Nothobranchius furzeri: one gene and its partners. The protein of the gene in region 3 purifies or fractionates together with the protein of the main gene of each other region. This does not show direct contact. Links are inferred from orthologs where the notes say so. Each region holds a gene or a part of one and is shown on either strand. Other genes may lie near its edges.

Evidence for each region. The genes of interacting proteins can lie anywhere in the genome.
Region 1: the proteins of splicing factor U2AF 65 kDa subunit (region 3) and tra2b purify together in Homo sapiens (affinity purification with mass spectrometry; 4 studies listed by BioGRID and IntAct, counting the BioPlex papers as one, with this or other methods). This does not show direct contact. The link is inferred for Nothobranchius furzeri from reciprocal best matches to the Homo sapiens genes U2AF2 and TRA2B.
Region 2: the proteins of splicing factor U2AF 65 kDa subunit (region 3) and psma4 fractionate together in Homo sapiens (co-fractionation; 3 studies listed by BioGRID, with this or other methods). This does not show direct contact. The link is inferred for Nothobranchius furzeri from reciprocal best matches to the Homo sapiens genes U2AF2 and PSMA4.
Region 4: the proteins of splicing factor U2AF 65 kDa subunit (region 3) and snrpd1 fractionate together in Homo sapiens (co-fractionation; 3 studies listed by BioGRID, with this or other methods). This does not show direct contact. The link is inferred for Nothobranchius furzeri from reciprocal best matches to the Homo sapiens genes U2AF2 and SNRPD1.

What each region holds. Positions count from the first base shown.
Region 1 is NC_091754.1:18,122,036-18,127,005, reverse strand, and holds the start of tra2b (transformer-2 protein homolog beta), read left to right. Parts: upstream 1-1,503; 5' UTR 1,504-1,575; coding exon 1,576-1,641; intron 1,642-3,888; coding exon 3,889-3,989; intron 3,990-4,076; coding exon 4,077-4,239; intron 4,240-4,338; coding exon 4,339-4,527; intron 4,528-4,905; coding exon 4,906-4,970. UniProt on the Homo sapiens protein: Sequence-specific RNA-binding protein which participates in the control of pre-mRNA splicing. Can either activate or suppress exon inclusion. Acts additively with RBMX to promote exon 7 inclusion of the survival motor neuron SMN2.
Region 2 is NC_091749.1:46,740,862-46,745,677, forward strand, and holds psma4 (proteasome subunit alpha type-4), read left to right. Parts: upstream 1-1,349; 5' UTR 1,350-1,441; intron 1,442-1,522; 5' UTR 1,523-1,654; intron 1,655-2,016; 5' UTR 2,017-2,039; coding exon 2,040-2,042; intron 2,043-2,137; coding exon 2,138-2,180; intron 2,181-2,717; coding exon 2,718-2,880; intron 2,881-2,975; coding exon 2,976-3,053; intron 3,054-3,146; coding exon 3,147-3,235; intron 3,236-3,366; coding exon 3,367-3,497; intron 3,498-3,573; coding exon 3,574-3,697; intron 3,698-3,825; coding exon 3,826-3,980; 3' UTR 3,981-4,062; downstream 4,063-4,816. UniProt on the Homo sapiens protein: Component of the 20S core proteasome complex involved in the proteolytic degradation of most intracellular proteins. This complex plays numerous essential roles within the cell by associating with different regulatory particles.
Region 3 is NC_091745.1:76,211,217-76,215,286, forward strand, and holds the end of splicing factor U2AF 65 kDa subunit, read left to right. Parts: intron 1-845; coding exon 846-949; intron 950-1,075; coding exon 1,076-1,227; intron 1,228-1,334; coding exon 1,335-1,451; intron 1,452-1,756; coding exon 1,757-1,913; intron 1,914-2,026; coding exon 2,027-2,106; intron 2,107-2,268; coding exon 2,269-2,391; intron 2,392-2,467; coding exon 2,468-2,554; intron 2,555-2,807; coding exon 2,808-3,056; intron 3,057-3,141; coding exon 3,142-3,276; 3' UTR 3,277-3,326; downstream 3,327-4,070. UniProt on the Homo sapiens protein: Plays a role in pre-mRNA splicing and 3'-end processing. By recruiting PRPF19 and the PRP19C/Prp19 complex/NTC/Nineteen complex to the RNA polymerase II C-terminal domain (CTD), and thereby pre-mRNA, may couple transcription to splicing.
Region 4 is NC_091759.1:18,893,973-18,898,510, reverse strand, and holds snrpd1 (small nuclear ribonucleoprotein Sm D1), read left to right. Parts: upstream 1-1,502; 5' UTR 1,503-1,626; coding exon 1,627-1,640; intron 1,641-2,185; coding exon 2,186-2,262; intron 2,263-2,595; coding exon 2,596-2,796; intron 2,797-3,069; coding exon 3,070-3,146; 3' UTR 3,147-3,371; downstream 3,372-4,538. Other genes in the region: gamma-glutamylcyclotransferase, read left to right, coding at 3,868-3,984. UniProt on the Homo sapiens protein: Plays a role in pre-mRNA splicing as a core component of the spliceosomal U1, U2, U4 and U5 small nuclear ribonucleoproteins (snRNPs), the building blocks of the spliceosome.

The DNA.
Region 1 (4,970 bases), on a different chromosome or scaffold from region 3:
AAACACATAAAGAGCTGTGATTGGTCCATAATGGTGGGCCAATCATAGTGCTCTATCTGCTTAGTGAACAAATCACAGAGCTTTATTCGCTTTGTGGGCCAATCAGGGCACTCTATATGCCTGGTGGGTGGGATGATGCAACAGAGTGAAACAAGAGTATGTCACATTCATTGTCCAGTGGAATGCGGAGATCATTTGAAAGACAACGGTAGAACCCGCCCCACAACCGAGAGCCGTCAATGGAGCGTGGCCAGACTAAATAATACATTTATTTAGTCTGGCTTGCCAGGTCTGGCTAGCTGCTTCAGGCAACATAATCATATGTCTTCTGAGATTTTTCGGTGGCATCATTTTATGCATCTCTGATTCAGATACGCCTTCTCTGAAGACGGTGGACCAACAATCATTCCCAGACCAGATCCTTACATTCCAATTGGCCAGCGAGACGGACCAAGTGCTCTGGATCTTCATAAAATTAACACCCTGTATGACTGTGGTAGGTATAATGACACAAAACAACTTTATTATTTAATTATACTCATAATCGCTGATCTCTTATAGATTTTTTTATTTGATTTTCTCTCCAGGTCCTAATGAGTAACTAAATCTCTGTGGAAATCTCTGCTCTAAAGTCCTGCCGAATGTGGAAAATAGTTTATTATCATTCAGGCTAATTCATTTTTAATAGGCAGAATTTTTTTTTGTGTGTGTTTGTGTTTTTAGTTTGTGTCGGCTTTTAGATTGTGTCCACTCATCTTTGGGTACAAATCCATTGATTGCCATCAAACTATTGGATATATCAACTAAAATATGAATTCTATGAATATTCAGCCTCCCCTGTGACAAAGCTTTGTAGATAATAATTTTGTACAATCGTCTGCTCTTTTTGCTTTTGCTTTTTGATTCCTAATAAATAAAATGCAACAGAAAAAAGTTGTGGTCACTTTTACATATGAATCATCTGTGTTTTTCAGCAATAAATGAACAAATCAATTAAATTCTATTATGCTGTATTATTTTTCGCACAAGATCTTAAGAAAATCTTGTACTTTCCCGTTGACATGCCAAATCATCACACATGCATGTGAACAAAATGTATATTTAGACAGGTTTGATTAGGCTTCTATCAATTATTCATTTCTTACAAAAATGCATTTTTTGTGACTTAATGGTGTGTTATTTGTGCCTTTCTCATGTAGCTTTGATACACATTAAATTTACTTATTTTTACATAAACTGGAGGACATCAAAGGAGGAGCATTAGATTTAATGATGAATTCTCATATTTAATTGTATTAGGTAAATTACTTACTGTGAGTATTTCCCATTATTATTATTATTATTATTAGTAGTAGTAGTAGTAGTGTTGTTGTTTGATTATTTTCTTCTAATTGAATCCAGCCCTCTAATGCAAATATATATATATAATTCTACAGATGTTTTTCCATTGACATAGTTTTATTTTGTAGCTCTGCGCTACTTTTGAAAAAGAAAACTGGTTTCCGCTGAAGGGCTGAGCGCGTTTGAGTGACGTCATTTTGATTTCCAGGCTGTTTGTCAGTCTTTTCTAGCTCAATGGAACACAACAGTAACCCTCCATCTAGAATAATCACTATCAATAAAATGAGTGACAAAGAGCAGGTATGTGTGAACTTTTTTTTTATTTAGCTTTTTTTTATTATTTTCAATTCGTTCATGATTAAAAAGTGATTCTCTTCCGAGCACCGCGTTGTGTTTTTCGGCTAATGCTCTTTCTGTTTGCTAACTCGTGTTTTTGGTCAAATGTATCATGTTTATTTACTCCACGAAGCATAACAGTGTTAAATCGGTCGTTTTTTCCCTACGAGAAAGCATGTAGGATGAAAATTATATTATTTAGCTTCTGTGAATTAAGCTAGCTGGCTAAGGCTAACGTGTAGCTAGGCCTCAACTTCTGATTACTTTTGTTGCGATATTGGCAAAGGTCTACCACAACCCGCAAAGAAATACATTAATTTTTAAACCATTCAAGCATTTTTAGAGGTAGCTGTTGCAACTTGAACACATTTTTAGCTGAAATGCTAATTATGCTAATGGAACATGCTAGAAGGAAGTAGACGCTAGGGCTTTTTAAGCCATAAAAATTATCGATGAAAGGCTATAATTTAATCATTTGTAGTGCTTTATTCATGTTAACTGTGTGTTTGGCTGCAACTTCGTGTTTGGGTGATTTGCATTTGGTGAAACGGTCAACGTGTTATTGCATTTATCAGCGCAGAAATGTAAAAATAGAAACTCAAAAGGCCTCAAGATGTTTCCTCTTTCATTTACCTGTCAAAGACGAAGGTGGCACTACACTGACTCGATCCGATCAGACTAGAGGCTGTTTTAAATGCTAATTGTTTTTCAGAACCTATTGGGAAATTGTAATATTTAAGGAGATTATTGAGATAATCTTCAAATATCTATTTCTATAAATTAATTAGCTAAAATAAGGATTGTATGTTTACACCCAGAAATAGTCGGGGTTGAAAATCTCTGTAATGGTTATTTTTTAAATCAGAAGCTGAAATTTGGTAACTTCTAAATGTTCTGATGATGCAAATTTATTTGTCTACTTCTCATTTAGTGACTTGCACAAACATCTTGTGATTGATTGGATATTTGATATATTATTTGGGGAATAAGAATAACTTGTGCCTCGTTTGTTTTAAACTTTTTTCTTAAAATCACACTGAAGATCTTTCGAGTGCTGATGATGGGAAAAAAGTACAAACGAGAGGTGTTTGCATCTTGTGGTCATTTTTGTCTGACCTTGCAGTTATTATTTGTAAAGGGTAAAGGACAAATAAGTGGGTTTATTCTGAAATGTAGCTTATTCACATTCAGTGGTTTGAAATGACGGTGAACCATTCATTTTTATAATTTTTTTATGGATGAATAAAACTCCATTGTTGTGTTTTTTTCTGGTGCGACACGTCTCATGCTTTTGTTACGTTCAGGTTGATAAACTAATTGTGTTTATAATTCTCACTTTTCAGGTTGAGCAGTGATTTTTTAAAGATCCCTGCACCCTCCTTCACTTGCTCGTTTTAAAAAACGCGTTGTAAATTGTTAAACAAAATGTGCCAGTAGGGCGTAGAACCACTGAAAGTGAATTATCTTAAAAAAAAAAAAAAAACTGAACATTTGTAATCTTTCTATTTGTGCTAAAAGATCCTGATAACACATGACTGATAACACATGACAAAGTTGAATGAGCGTGCCCTGTTAACTGTAGTCATATATTCTTCATCTTCTTTTTCATTAAGGTTAAGGTTGGACGAAGAAAATGCAGAAGAAGTCTCATGTCCACTTTATTTTCAGTAATATGAAGCTGAGATGTGTGAAGCTGAATTGTTGAATGCATGCTAAAACATGAGGAGGGAAGAACTATGAGCAGTGTGTGTGAAGGGAGAAGTCAGAAGATTTAAGACAATTGAAGAAAGAAGAATAATGTGAAGTAATGAAGTTACAGAAATGAAGTTAAGGAAGTAATCTGGATAAGGTCACTGCGCTAAGTAATTTTCTGGTCTACTTGTCAAATGCGTGCATGTTTTATTTTGTTGAATACAACACAAATTAAATTTTACAATTGAAAAATTTATTTGAATTGTAATTAAGTTAATGTAATCATTGTTGCTATTATAACCTTGGTTGTACAAAGTAACATTAAACATTTATATTTACAAATCAATTTTTTCTACAAATTAACAGGATATATTTAATTCCTATCTCTTTAGAGACTTTTTAAAAAAATGTTCAATATCACATCTGTGATGATAACTGTGTGTGTGTGTGTGTGTGTGTGTGTGTGTGTGTGTGTGTGTGTGTGTGTGTGTGTGTGTGTGTGTGTGTGTGTGTGTTCAGAAGTCTCGCTCTGCTTCCAGGAGCGTGAGCGCACATGGTTCTGGGAAGTCGGCTAGTCGCTCCCGCTCTAAATCCTGGTCTCGCTCCAGGTCCAGGTCTGGGTGAGTTACGAAGCAGCGCTCAGGTGGACTGGACTGAAACGGCCTTGAACTCGTGTGAGGGTGGAAACATTGTCTCTGTCTCTGCAGATCACATTCCCACCGTGGCTCCCGCAGACATTACAGCCGCTCTCGGTCCCGCTCCAAGTCCTATCACCGCAGATCTCGCAGTCGGTCCCACAGCGGGGAACGTCGGCGCAGAAGCCATAGTCACTCCCCTATGTCCAATCGCCGCAGGCACATTGGCAACCGTGTATGTCCTCATTGTTTAGATACATTTCTTTGAATCTGCTCAGCATGAAATTTATAAGCAGATAAACCTATTATTGACCTAATCTTAATATTGCAACAGGCTAATCCAGATCCAAACGGTTGCCTGGGAGTGTTTGGCTTGAGCCTGTACACCACAGAGAGGGACCTAAGGGACGTCTTCTCTAAATATGGACCCCTGGCAGATGTTAGCATCGTGTACGACCAGCAGTCAAGACGCTCCAGGGGCTTCGCCTTTGTTTACTTTGAGAACACAAACGATGCTAAAGAGGTAAAATAATATTTGTTGATTTAAAGAGAAAAAAAATACCTTTCAGATCTATTATTAAAAAAAATTCCATTGAAGGCTGTGTTGATTTTTGCAGCCAGGAGAGAGCAGAATGCATCTCTGCTAGTAGAATTTAACTGTTAGCATTAGCAACTTCACAACATGGCAGAAGTCCTTCAATCTTATTTGTGAAGATTACACATCAGTGTTGCAGAGCAAACAGAGGCAGTTTAAGAGTCGTTTCTGCCCCTCACTCATCCATCTAACTTCTACTTCTGAAAACAGGAGCGCCAGAGCTTTTTTTCCCCTGAAAATGACTCAAAACATTCATTCTGCAGACCACAACAAATGTATTGATGTGTTGTCTTTTTATGCTGTCAGGCGAAGGAGCGTGCGAACGGCATGGAGCTGGATGGTCGCAGAATCAGGGTGGATTTCTCCATCAC
Region 2 (4,816 bases), on a different chromosome or scaffold from region 3:
ACAATGTTTTTAGAAAAAGTTGTTTCACTGATGTCGCATTTCTACGCAGAAACTTGATAACAATGTCAGAAATGACTCCAGGCAACACGACGCTCCCAAGCCGGTAACGGAAACCATTCAATTTTACTCTAAAATGGATTTTTAAAAAGCGGGGTCCTACCGGTAGCAAAACAGCGACGTTTTTAATAAATTGTGTCATTTTACCACCAGCTGACGCCAGGCTAACTTGTACTCGCTTACACTGAGCTAGCTCAAAATTAGCATTACTTAATCAAACAACATTAATAAGCCCTTACCTCTCCGGATAAATTTTGTTTTATCTCTAAGACATATCCTGATTATAAGTATGGTCAACTCTCCGCGGTCACAGGCGTCTGGAACTCTGTACTACTGATTGACTAGTGAAGTTTCACCAGACGACGATAACCTCTTTACACTTCCTGCTCTCATTCAAACGCCATGCTGCTTAATCAACCAATCACGCGCGACAGTTCTTCTTCTACTCATTTCTGGCGGTTGTCAAACGGATAGTTGCATTAGCGCCACCAACTGGGTGTAATTGTTTTCAATCTTCAATACGAAACACGAGAAATGTATTTAAGCGATTTTTAAATGCTGCTCTCATTGTTTTAATGTTAAAAATGTAAATTTCTACCATTTAATTTTAAGGTTTCAGTAAACGCTTTACAACTTTAAAATAAACTGTTTTGTCTATTTTTCGAATTGTTCCCTTTACCAGGTCACTCATTATAGCTCACATATGTTCTATCTGACAGTATATCTATTGTTTCACACTGCAAGAACTTTATTTAGTAAATTTACAAAAAACATGGCATTTTGAAAATGTTAAATCCAAAAACTAAATTTAAAATGAGCAGTTAATATACTATGACATTAGTAAATACAAATTAAGTAAACCAAAAAAAGAAAGAAAAAAAGGGAGAGAGAGAGAGAGAGAGAGAGAGAGAGAGAGAGAGAGAGAGAGAGAGAGAGAGAGAGAGAGACAAAAAACAAGTAGAGTACAGCTTTCAATGAGGGTATGGCGTTTGTCATATAATTAGGAAGTGTCTTGGAAATTCAGCTAACATGTTATTTACGTTTTTTTTTTCATCCATCCATCCATTTTCTGAGCCCGCTTTGTCCAGCAGGGTCGCGGGGGGCCGGTGCCTATCTCCAGTGTGTCAACGGGCAATCAGGCGGGGTACACCCAGTCCATCGCAGGGCAACACAGAGACACAGGACAAATAATCATGCACACACACACACTCACACCTAAGGGCAATTTGGACAGACCAATCAACCTAACAGTCATGTTTTTGGACTGTGGAAGGAAGCCGGAGTGCCCGGAGAGAACCCACGCATGCACAGTGAGAACATGCAAACTCCATGCAGAAATGGCCGGGAAGCGAACTTAGGACCTTCTTGCTACAAGGCAACAACTGTAAGCACTGCGTCACTGCGCAGCCATGTTTTTGTTTTCAGTAAAGGTGAATCTCAGATTTATCAGTCCTCCTACCAACAGGCGGCGCTGCTGAGCGGCTACTTCACTGCCGGACGCCGGTGGAGGAGCGAGGAAATATCAAACTGAAAGTGTTAGCAGAGCAAACCCTGTAGCTCAAGCAAAAGTACGCCGTTTCAGACTCTTTGGTTTAAGGTAACAGAATATCGATGCTTAAATGTTTGACGCATTATTTTGCTTTTTTTCAGTGTAATTATAAGTTGTTTATTATATTGTCTCAGTTTGTCGCACTCCCAATTAGAGACATGAGAAACAGAGAGGCTGTAAGCTAACGTGTTAGCATGCTACGATATTGCAGATTCATTCTGCTGTAGCAACGCGCTACAGCAGCTTGCTATCAGTGTTTGATCCTCGTTGCTATCAAAGTTTCGGTCCTCTAACTTTCATGAAATTTTTATCTAAATGTTCAAATGGTCACAATATAGCTCTGTTCGTGTATATCTGTAATGTTTGGCTATTTGATTGCTCCTGCTAACACTTGTGTTGCTTCTATTTAGGAAATCTCAGGTGACCTGAGAAAATGGTAATTATGTGCTTCATACGCCCTATGATTTTTATGTATTTATCAGTTTTTATGTGATTGCTTCATGTCGTTTTATCTATTTTATTTGTACGTAGTCTCGCAGGTATGACTCTCGGACAACCATATTTTCACCTGAAGGTAATTCTTAAGACACGTTTTAGTCTTCGCAATGCAAAAGTAGTTGTTTTTATATTGTAAAACGGAAAGACCATTCACATTTCTGATAGCTGAGAAAATGATTACTTCACTATTTTTTGGCATGCAGAGCATGTTTATTTAAATATAAACATGATGTCAACTACACTATTTTGTAGCAAAACCTTCAAATCCCAATTTGCACGAATATTTCACTGGTAAACCATGTTTTCATTGTTTTAATTGTTACACCCACTCAGGCAATCTAGGAGTGGTGAGGGGAAAACACAGTAAAGATAAAAATAAAAAGGAAGTAAAAGGCGTATGGTGTCTGGATAGGATGGGGATGAAATTAGGGAAAAGGCCCATCATGAGTGAAACTGAACTGAAGTGAAATAAGTTAACTTTAGATCTGTTCTTGGGCTCAATAGGGAAGCAAAAGTAGTTTTAATAAACCCATGCAAGTACTCTTGCTCATTTAGATTGTTTTCTTTTTTTAACAAAACAAATGTTAAACAAAATATTTTCTGTAATTTCCAGGACGTCTTTATCAGGTGGAGTATGCAATGGAAGCAATTGGTCACGCTGGAACCTGTCTGGGGATTCTAGCAAACGATGGGGTGCTGTTAGCCGCAGAAAGACGCAACATCCACAAACTGCTAGATGAAGTTTTCTTCTCTGAGAAGATCTACAAGCTCAATGAGTGAGAAGCTTAAACCAGCTTATGTTATTTTGAAAGTATTTTTTTTTTTATGTTTTTACTTGTTTTTAAGGCTGATTTGTTGATCTGCTTTCCAGAGACATGGCTTGTAGTGTTGCTGGAATCACATCTGATGCCAATGTATTGACAAATGAGCTGCGGCTAATTGCACAGAGGTGAGTGTTAACAGAATCCTCTGTCACAAATGGAAAAAAATGAACAGATCTGAAAAGTGTTCGTCATCATGACTGAGATCTTTTCCTTTTCAGGTATTTACTACAGTACCAAGAGCCCATACCGTGTGAGCAGCTGGTCACAGCTCTGTGTGACATAAAGCAAGCCTACACACAGTTTGGAGGCAAGATACTCCTCCTTACTCTGCTTCATACTGTTTATCAACATGCTTCCTTTCATATGAACATGTCACTCTGCTCTTGTATATATTACTTTACAAACAAGAATGTGTGTATAAGCTGTTTGTCTGAACAGGCAAGAGGCCGTTTGGTGTTTCTCTCCTCTACATGGGGTGGGACAAGCACTACGGCTTCCAGCTGTACCAAAGTGACCCCAGTGGCAACTACGGAGGTTGGAAGGCAACCTGTATTGGGAACAACAGTGCTGTAAGTCAGAGTAGCTGTAAAGTCAAAATGGTAGTTTGGATCATTTGGTTTGATTTGTTTGACTTTTTGGTGTCAGGCTGCAGTTTCCATGTTGAAGCAGGACTACAAAGAAGGGGAGATGACCCTGTCTTCTGCTTTGGCGTTGGCCATCAAAGTCCTCAACAAAACCATGGATGTCAGCAAGCTGTCAGCAGAGAAAGGTGAGGTTCTGTGGCACTCTCGGATGGTGCAGCAGTAAGTTAAGCAAGTTAAAACTTAAAGGTCCACTTGACTGTTGAAAAGATCCTCCTGTTGCAACAGTAGCATGATTCTGTTCTGATCGTTTCAGTTGAGATCGCCACCTTGACACGTGAAGATGGAAAAACCAAGATCAAGGTGTTGAAACAGAAGGAGGTGGAGGAGCTCATCAAGAAGCACGAGGCTGAAGAGGCCAAGGCTGAAAAAGACAAAAAGGAAAAGGAGCAAAAGGAGAAGGACAAATAAGAAAAGAATAACATTGTTTTTCTCACTCTTTCATCAAATTCTGTATCATTTCGTCTTTTACAATAAATTCTCAGAAACTGAAGTGGAAATGGTTGATCCAACAAGGATTAATCTCACAAATATAGTTGGTTTTACTACAACTGAATCAAAATAGAAGTTTTTACAATATAAATGTGCCTTTCTATTTAGGAAATGTGTGCAATTTGTTAAAGCAGGTTCAGTTTTCACTTGCATGACCAGCAACCAGTAAAAAAAAAACACAAATGATTCTCCTAAAACATAAAGCTGAAGAGAGCACAGTAGGTCATTCATGATGAATAGATGGGTATTTAGTAAAAAGACAAACCTTTTCTCAGTTTCCAGTTAGACTGACTTTATAATTAAATATCAAAGCCTTAAGCTTACTTGAACATAATACTTTTGAAAAACAAATCCTAATTTGTAGATAGTAAATTTGTCTAAAAACCATAAATTTGTTTCATACTGAAGAATGTAAACAGTTAAAAGTAATAAACTCAGCAGCATATCTGTTATTTGGTCTTTGTACCACTTGATGGCGACAGTGTTCAGTACATAAAGGCTCAACAGTGGATAGATGACTGTTTTCTGTCTAAAGCACAGGTAGTCACAAAAACTAAAGCCTGTACGAAAAACGATCTTAAATAAGATTTTTACTTTTATAACTAAATCAGAAGTATTTGGTGTTCTTTTATAAATTCTGAATCATAAAGTGGAGCTTTTCTGATGGATCTTTTAGGAGTGAACAATTCAGAGTTTTGTCTGCTTTGAGACCAGCTGGTGAACGCGACAGCAACTGTCTGTTTAACTGGCCTGAG
Region 3 (4,070 bases):
AACGTAACATGACTTAAAGAATACATGTGACCAACTAACATTTCATGTTCTACCTCCGGATGTTTGGATCAGAATGTGAACCAATCAGGTCTTAGATCAGGTGAGAGCCAGGCGTTTCCCTTCATCCCCTAGGTTTTGCAGCCGAGGGAGAGCAACTGCAGCGCCTTGCTCTAAAATTTGCGGCCGCCTTGATCTCACGAGGTTATCGATGCCTACGTATGCATGACGTCAGAGCAAGTTGGCGTCAAGTCAGACACAAATCTAACCGGCATGCACTGCTCGCCGATCACTGGTGATCGACTCTGCGCAGAACTGGCTCATCTCGAACACGGCCATAGTCAAGTTAACGTTCGTGGACTCACCCATCTTGGCTCGCGACGGGGAAGGCTGTTGTTGTTTTAGTGTCTAGAAAACCGCAGAAAACATCTCAACTAGTAGAAGCTAGCCATTAGCATTTGCAACTCCACCACACAGCAGAACTCCTCCAGGCTGGTTTTATGTTTGGAGATAAAACATCAACGTTCCAGAGCTAACAGTCAGTTGTAGAGTCACATTGCTGTTATCCAATCAGAGGTGATATGTTCAAATATCAGGAACTAAGAGTCCAAATCCTCCGTCTGAAACTCAACTCTGCTCTGGCTCACTTTGAGTTTCTGAAACTGGAGCTTCAGAGCTTTTTTCCTCAGAGATTAACTCGTTTATACCAGAGACAACAGCAAATGTGTTGCTTAAATGAGTGAATTTGGTCTTAAAATCATTATTTCTTAATATATTTCAGCAAATCACCCTGTATTTAATCAAAACGTGAGTTAAATTTATTTCACTTTTTTCTTTTTGTCAAACAGCCGTTCTCCTCAGCGTGAGAAGAAGAAGAAGATAAAGAAGTACTGGGATGTCCCTCCGCCTGGATTTGAACACATCACTCCCATGCAGTACAAAGCCATGCAGGGTAACAAGTTTGATACATTTATAGTTGGGATGTTATCCATCGCGGTACTGAAACCTCTATGTGATGTAGATATGATGGTAGTGTGGTAAAATGGAAGATTATAACTTTGTGTTTCGTGTTTTTCAGCGGCAGGACAAATTCCAGCCACCGCCCTCCTGCCGACCATGACCCCAGACGGCCTGGCTGTAACCCCCACCCCCGTACCTGTGGTGGGCAGCCAGATGACCCGGCAGGCCCGCCGTCTTTATGTTGGCAACATCCCCTTTGGTATCACAGAGGTGAGAAACAGAAAAGCATATTTCGGTTTGGATAATATCGTTTTAATGACCTTTACTCTTTGTGTGTGTGTGTGCGTGTGCGTGTGTGTGTGTGCGTGTGTGTGTAGGAGTCCATGATGGACTTCTTTAACGCTCAGATGCGTTTAGGTGGTCTTACTCAGGCCCCTGGAAATCCTGTCCTCGCTGTACAGATCAACCAGGACAAGAACTTTGCCTTCCTTGAGGTGAGAAACATCCCGTGATGGTCATTAATGATCCTCAGGAGCAGGGTTAGGGAACCCTGGTCCCGATCCAACACGTTTTAGAGGTTTCCCTGCTTCAACACATCTGATTTTAAACAGCAGGCTATTAACAGGCTTCTGTAGAGGCTGATGAGCTGCTAAACTGGTGAATCCTCTGTGTCGGAGCAGGGAAACCTAAAACGTGTTGGCTGGCGGCTCTCCAGGACCAGGGTTCCCTACTCCTGCTCTGAAGTATTCCTGAACTCTCGTTGGATCTTGTTTGTGTGTTTTTAAATGTTTCTGTTCAGTTTCGTTCAGTGGATGAAACGACACAGGCAATGGCCTTTGATGGCATCATCTTTCAAGGCCAAAGCCTTAAAATCCGTCGTCCGCACGACTACCAGCCACTGCCCGGCATGAGCGAGAACCCCAGTGTCTATGTGCCTGGTACACAGACAATTAATGGTTTTTATCCTTACATTTTGCTACAAGTATACATAAACATTTGATCACTCAATATCCACGTGAGCCTCTTCTCGGGTTCCTCAGACTCGTTCTTGTCCTTGCACATTTTGCAGGAGTGGTGTCCACAGTGGTCCCAGACTCGGCTCACAAGCTCTTTATTGGTGGATTGCCCAATTATCTGAACGATGACCAGGTCGGTGTTGCAGTCTAAGTGCCATCCTGGTGCTTAGCATTCATGTGTGTTTTCTTATTGGTGACATTTTGGTGTTGAAATGAACCGAATGAAATAAAAAGTTGACATTAATCTTGTTTGCTTTAGTTTCCATCTAAACTCGCGTGAACTCTCGTGTTTCAGGTGAAGGAGTTGTTGACGTCGTTTGGCCCTCTGAAGGCCTTTAACCTGGTAAAAGACAGTGCCACAGGCCTATCTAAAGGATATGCCTTCTGTGAATATGTTGATGTCAACCTGAACGATCAGGTAACGGGTCCCAGCAGGTACGTCTGTGGTGGAACCTTTCTGGAAACGGGTCACTGAGCTTTGGCTGTCTGCACAGGCTATCGCTGGACTGAACGGCATGCAGCTCGGAGACAAGAAGCTCCTGGTGCAGAGGGCTAGCGTGGGATCCAAGAACGCCACTCTGGTGAGGCTCCAGCTGCTGGGTGAATGACAGCAGAACGGTGGGAGGCTGGATGTCGGTTCTAAAACGGACCGAGACAGATTGCTGAATAGATCTGCTGCAGCTCCTCGTCTGTTCAGTTCTAACCAGGACAAATATACGTCTTTTCAGCCAAGTCGTGTACTGAATATGAAGCTGTGCGCTTGTGTTTAGGGTGGATCTATGGCGGTATGCAGAAGCCTGAACGTGAAAGTCTTTGTTGTTGTTTTTTCTCCAGACAACTATAAACCAGACCCCGGTGACGCTGCAGGTGCCGGGTTTGAACAGCTCCGTCACTCAGATGGGTGGCCTGCCCACTGAGGTGCTGTGCCTGATGAACATGGTGGCCCCCGAGGAGCTCCTGGACGATGAAGAATATGAGGAGATTGTGGAAGACGTCAGGGAGGAGTGCAGCAAGTACGGCCAAGTGAAAAGCATCGAGATCCCTCGTCCGGTGGACGGCCTGGACATACCTGGGACGGGCAAGGTAGGCAACCTTCAGATTCTGATGTAAAGCGCTTTGATGGATCAGCAAATCATAACCGTGCCTCTTGTTTTCCCTCGCTTCACAGATTTTTGTGGAGTTCACTTCAGTTTTTGATGCCCAGAAGGCCATGCAGGGGCTGACTGGAAGGAAGTTTGCCAACAGGGTGGTGGTAACGAAATACTGCGATCCAGATGCTTATCACCGCCGGGACTTCTGGTAGAGGGGGGACGATGAGAGGGAAAGGGGAGGGAGGGGGGAGGGAGGGAGTGTAGCATGTACTGCCTGTTTCCAAATAGCCCTCGGAGTGATTTTGGCTGAGCAGCATTTCAGGTAGATCTCGGACTGTTAATCGTTTGGCGAACGGCTTTGGTGATGTCCGGTTAATTAAAGGAGATCTACGTGACGTGTTGAGCATTTAGCACCAGTGTGGCAGGGAGGAGGAGAGGAATGGCGTGTGTTTATTTTAAATGTAACACCGGGCTCGGTTTGGGGCGGTAGTCGTGTAGCTGGGTGGGTTGGGATGTGTATGAAATTTGAGAAATGTGTGTAATAACGGGGCCGGGGTGGGTCGAGAATTTTTTTTTTATACTTTGTGAGACATGGATGTTGTTTTTTTGGGTGGGAACAGGGAGCCACGCTTCAAAGGTTTGTATTTAAATGGAGTCGACCTGTTTTAAGTACATTTAGAGAGGATCTGCAGCACGGAGCTACTGGAAAATTCTGATTGAGAAGAGTTGGAAACTAAAAGGAGATGGTGTGATGGGCGTTGTTGTTTGATGATCCAATGTAGATACACAGTAGCTGTAACATCCACTTTGGTTTTGTCACCATCACTAGAAAGGTGTGTGGAGACTCCTCGTGTTCTTGCATCGTGATCAGACCGCTGTCCCTCCAGCACTGTTGTTGTGCGACTAATCTGAACGTCAGCTGTTCTGATTCTGTGTAGCTTCGCCGATTCTCAGCTGCAAAGTCACCCGGTGTTTAAGCTGCAAAGTCACGAGCTACGCAAAGATT
Region 4 (4,538 bases), on a different chromosome or scaffold from region 3:
TGTGGGGGAAACCCACGCGTGCGCGGGGAGAACACGCAACTCCACGCAGAAAGGCCGCAGCCGAGTTTCGAACCTGCAACCTTCTTGCTGCGAGGCAACAGTGCTAACAGCTGCGCCACCGTGCAGCCCACAAGTCGACGAAATTCATTTTATCATCTCTGAGCTGTTTACCTTCATTTTCAGTCACTTTAGGTTTATACGCTTTTAGCATATCGGCGTTCACACTACAGCATCGTTTGACTCGTATTTATTAGCTGCTTTAGAAATAAATCATTTATCATCACTTCCTTATTATAGTGAGGATCTTCTTTTGGTGTGTGTGCCTTCTTTAGTTTCTATTTGTTAACATTGTTTTTTAAACACGCTAAATCAAAGTTTAAAAGCCTAAAACATTTCATGGCGCAGCGGCCCGACGTTTAACCCCTTTATCTGAATGTTCACGTCCAGCTGACCTTTGATTTTATTTTGTTGGACGTGTGACTTCCTGTTTGAGCCCCGCTGTAACGTTTACAGGAGAATAAAACACGACTGCTGATCTGAAGATCGATTACTCAGTTGCTATGGTTAAGGTGGAGAGAAACCCCAAAAGGACATTATCTGTTTCCACATGAAAGATTTCCAGGAACACGTGCTCACCTGCTGTAATATTTCATGACTTCTGTTTTAAACCACTGCATAATTAGATTTTCTTTTCTAGAGTTCAACAGCAGATGCACTGAGTCGAGACTTTTTCTGCTCCAGAATATTAATAACGTGTTGCGTCAATCATGTGCAGGCAACACACAGAGAGGATGACGGTTTTATTTATTTTTATTATTATTAGAAGTGGAATAATGCTGAGTTTAATGGCCTTGTGCCGTTTTTCTTTTTGTGCTTCACACTTTATGATTTATTGGTCTCAGCCTACATCTTTGGAATAAAAAAAAGCACTCTCATTGATTATACTTGATACATTCCCAGCAGGTCTCAAGAAGACAGATTTGATGTGTGGCCAAATCTCTTAAGTATCGGTGCAGAGTTTACTCTTAATAAAATGAGCTGAAAGTGCTGCTTTGTGGTTTTATTCAACTGCGACAAGTTCTCTGAAGTTGTCTCCTGATCTGTTGAATGAATTAGGTCTTGATCAGTTAGGGTTAATTGTTGTGGATATTTTACCTTTTTTCATCTTCCAGATTTTGATAAATCAGTAAAAATGTAAATTTTACTACGACTTTAACACATGTTGCACATAAACACCGTTTTGACCTTTTGGTTGCAAATTCTGCAGATCACGAATCCAGCAGTAGGTAACGGTAGTGATCTTCCTAAATATTGATCATTTAGGGATCTTTGTTTTGGATATTTGACCTTTTAACTGCCAGATTCCAATAAATTAGTAGTAAAATAAAGATTGTGGATTTTAACACTACTGTAAAACATGTTGCACAGAAAAATAAAACAAAAGTGTTAGAACGGATCACAATTCCACCAGTAGATGGCGGTAATTACACCCCCTCGTCTTTGTTGTCGCCTTTTAGTGACGTCACATCCCTGAACGTTTCGAATACAACAGCGGCCTGTGTTTTCACTCGATCGCTGTAATTTTTGTCTTCGGTGGAGGATTTTTCTCTACTGTTTTCCATCATCATGAAACTAGTCAGGTAGGCGGCAGCGGGAGGTCCCGGATTAACCGGAGAATTAACGTAAACTGATCAAATGAAAGTGATGTGGCCGGATGGATTGGGATTTGATTAAACGGTGATGAGGCGGGAAGTGGAAAAATGTAATGGATCCTGAGCGACGTTACGGCGACCGCTGAGGGTTTAAAACACGTTCCTACGCACAGTTTTAATTATCAACATAGATGAACGTCTACTTTAAGTACATTTCTATTTCAATAAGTAAAAATATTAGGCTAGACGTTAACTCATTCAACCGTTGTAGCATTAGCTTGTCAATCAACTAAAGCGGCTCAAAATGGGGTTTTAACATAATTTGTTAGAGTTCATTTTGTAAATATTTAGTTTAGCTGTTAAACTGGTGGATAATCAGTGTTTTTATTGTTTCAAACGCTTTAAAAGTCACCTAATAGCCATCGGTGGCTAACTAGATAGCTAAAGCTAAGCTACTATCTAGCCTCTGCGAGAAATGTCCCAATTACGTTGTGATGTTTTCACTCAGTCATCGTGTGCAATGATGCCCACAGGTTTTTGATGAAGCTCAGCCATGAAACCGTAACCATTGAGCTGAAAAATGGCACCCAGGTTCACGGCACCATCACAGGTGAGCTCATAAAGGTGGTCAGATAAGCCAGGAGTCAGCTGAAGCTCTTTAATTTCAATACTAATGACATATATTTGTATGCATTAAGTAGATTAATACCCACAGCTGTGCTTTCATCCTCATAGTCAGACTTTAGTACAGATAAATCTGCACAATGTATGTTTTTGTATTATTTAATCCTATTTGATGGGATTTTTTTATGTTTAACAAACCCTAGACAAGCACACACACAACCTGCAAATTAAAATATTTTCTAATCTGTAAAATTAATCCTAAACTCAAGTGCCAGATGTACTTATGGCTGGTGTTTCATCCCTCCTCTCTGTTTTTCAGGTGTTGATGTGAGCATGAACACTCACCTGAAGGCGGTAAAAATGACCCTAAAAAACAGGGAGCCCACTCAGCTGGAGTCGCTGAGTATCCGCGGCAACAATATTCGCTACTTCATCCTCCCAGACAGCCTCCCTCTGGACACCTTGCTGGTTGACATCGAGCCAAAGATCAAGTCCAAGAAGAGAGAAGCAGGTGAGAAAGGTGAAAATGCATAAGATATGTTGAGTTGAATTTTATCTTAAGGTGTTTTTTTTAGAAAGTGAATCTGAATTCTCCTTTGCGTGAACAAAAAGGTTTTCACAGTGATGTAACTGGTGTGTTTGCACAGGTTTCTGCATGGGTTTATATTAAAAGAACTAAATTGTAACATTAACTGTACGACATAATTTAAGGAGTGGTTTAAAGGACCAGATGCTAAATGAGCAATATGGTGTTTGTGACACTTGTGCTGATGCTGCTCATCTGTCTCCTCAGTGGCTGGACGGGGACGAGGCAGGGGACGGGGACGTGGGAGAGGAAGGGGACGGGGACGAGGTGGACCAAGGAGATGATCGCAAGGCTGTTCTGTTGATTCCTAACACTTCACTGTTTGTACAGGATTTTTTTTTTCCTTTGCTTCATTAAAGCAGAAACGTTTTGTGAATTTCTGTGTGCTTTTTAGTTGGACTTTTTTTTTTGTACATTAAACTTCTGGTTAAGAGGACAAATTACTCTGACTTCTTTGTGTTGGTTTTTAATACTGAATAAAGTGTCAGCACATAAACTAGCATCATTAACTACTGTGTTGTCCCAATCAGATCCCAATGCTACTGGTGTACTAGCCAGCCCCACGCTTCCTTGTGTATAAAGTTACACAGATGAGTCTGGCAGGCCAGGCTCTAAAATAAAAATGTATTTTATGAAATTATTATTTAGTCATCAGACCTTTATCCCACTACAGTTGACAAAATAAAGCAAAACTGTTTATTTAGTCAACTTTTAGGTGCAGTTTCTCACATCAGTTGTGATAATTGGTAAAACTGCACATGTAGGTGGGGGAACGTTGTTTTACATTACACCGGGGACCAAAGTCACCGCTAGATGGCGGTGTAGGAAAAGTGACCTGGTAGATGGTAGCCTATAGGATGGCTTGCCGGGCTAACGTAGAGGTTCGTGGAATGACGTAAATCATTGCCCAAAGCTAGTTATTTTATATTAAACGATCATCTTTTAACATATTCGTCACATGTCGAAGGCACCAGGTTCTTTTCGAGCAGGAGTATTTTTATCACAATGTCTGTGGCTAGCGTCGGCCGTTTCCTGTACTTCGCGTATGGAAGCAACTTATTAAAGGAAAGGCTGCAGCTGAAAAACCCTTCGGCTACGTTCGTCTCTACTGGTCGCCTGAAGGTTTGTTCGTTAAATATGTCGCCAGTTTCTCACCTAAAGTTAGTGCTCAGTGGCTAGCCTGCTAGAGCCTAGCCTGTTTAATTCTACACAGGGAACCATTACAATCCCATAAGGATCACGGGCTGGCGGGTCAGGCTAATAACAGCGGGTCTTGCGTCTTATATATAAATATGTAAATGATAAAATAACCCTACTCGTGACGAAAATTATAATTGTCTGCCGACTTTCACTTCATTAATGAAAATCAGTGTATTTACTTTCATGACCAGTTCAGTTCACTTCCGGGAGGCACGAGACAGTGGCCGTGTCCGAGATGAGCCAGTTCTGCGCAGGTTATTAGATCACCGGTGATCAGCGCTCAGTGCTTGCCGGTGTTTTTTTGTTTTTTTTCGCAGGGCTTGCCGGTTTTTTTACGCTTGGTCACGTGATTGACTTTTTTTAACAAACCTTTATTAACAAAAATAGAATATACAATGTGACAATGAGGTTACAAGCTCACAGTTGACAACGAATAAGAAAAGTGAGATGTGAACAAAAAAAGAAAACAAAGTGCC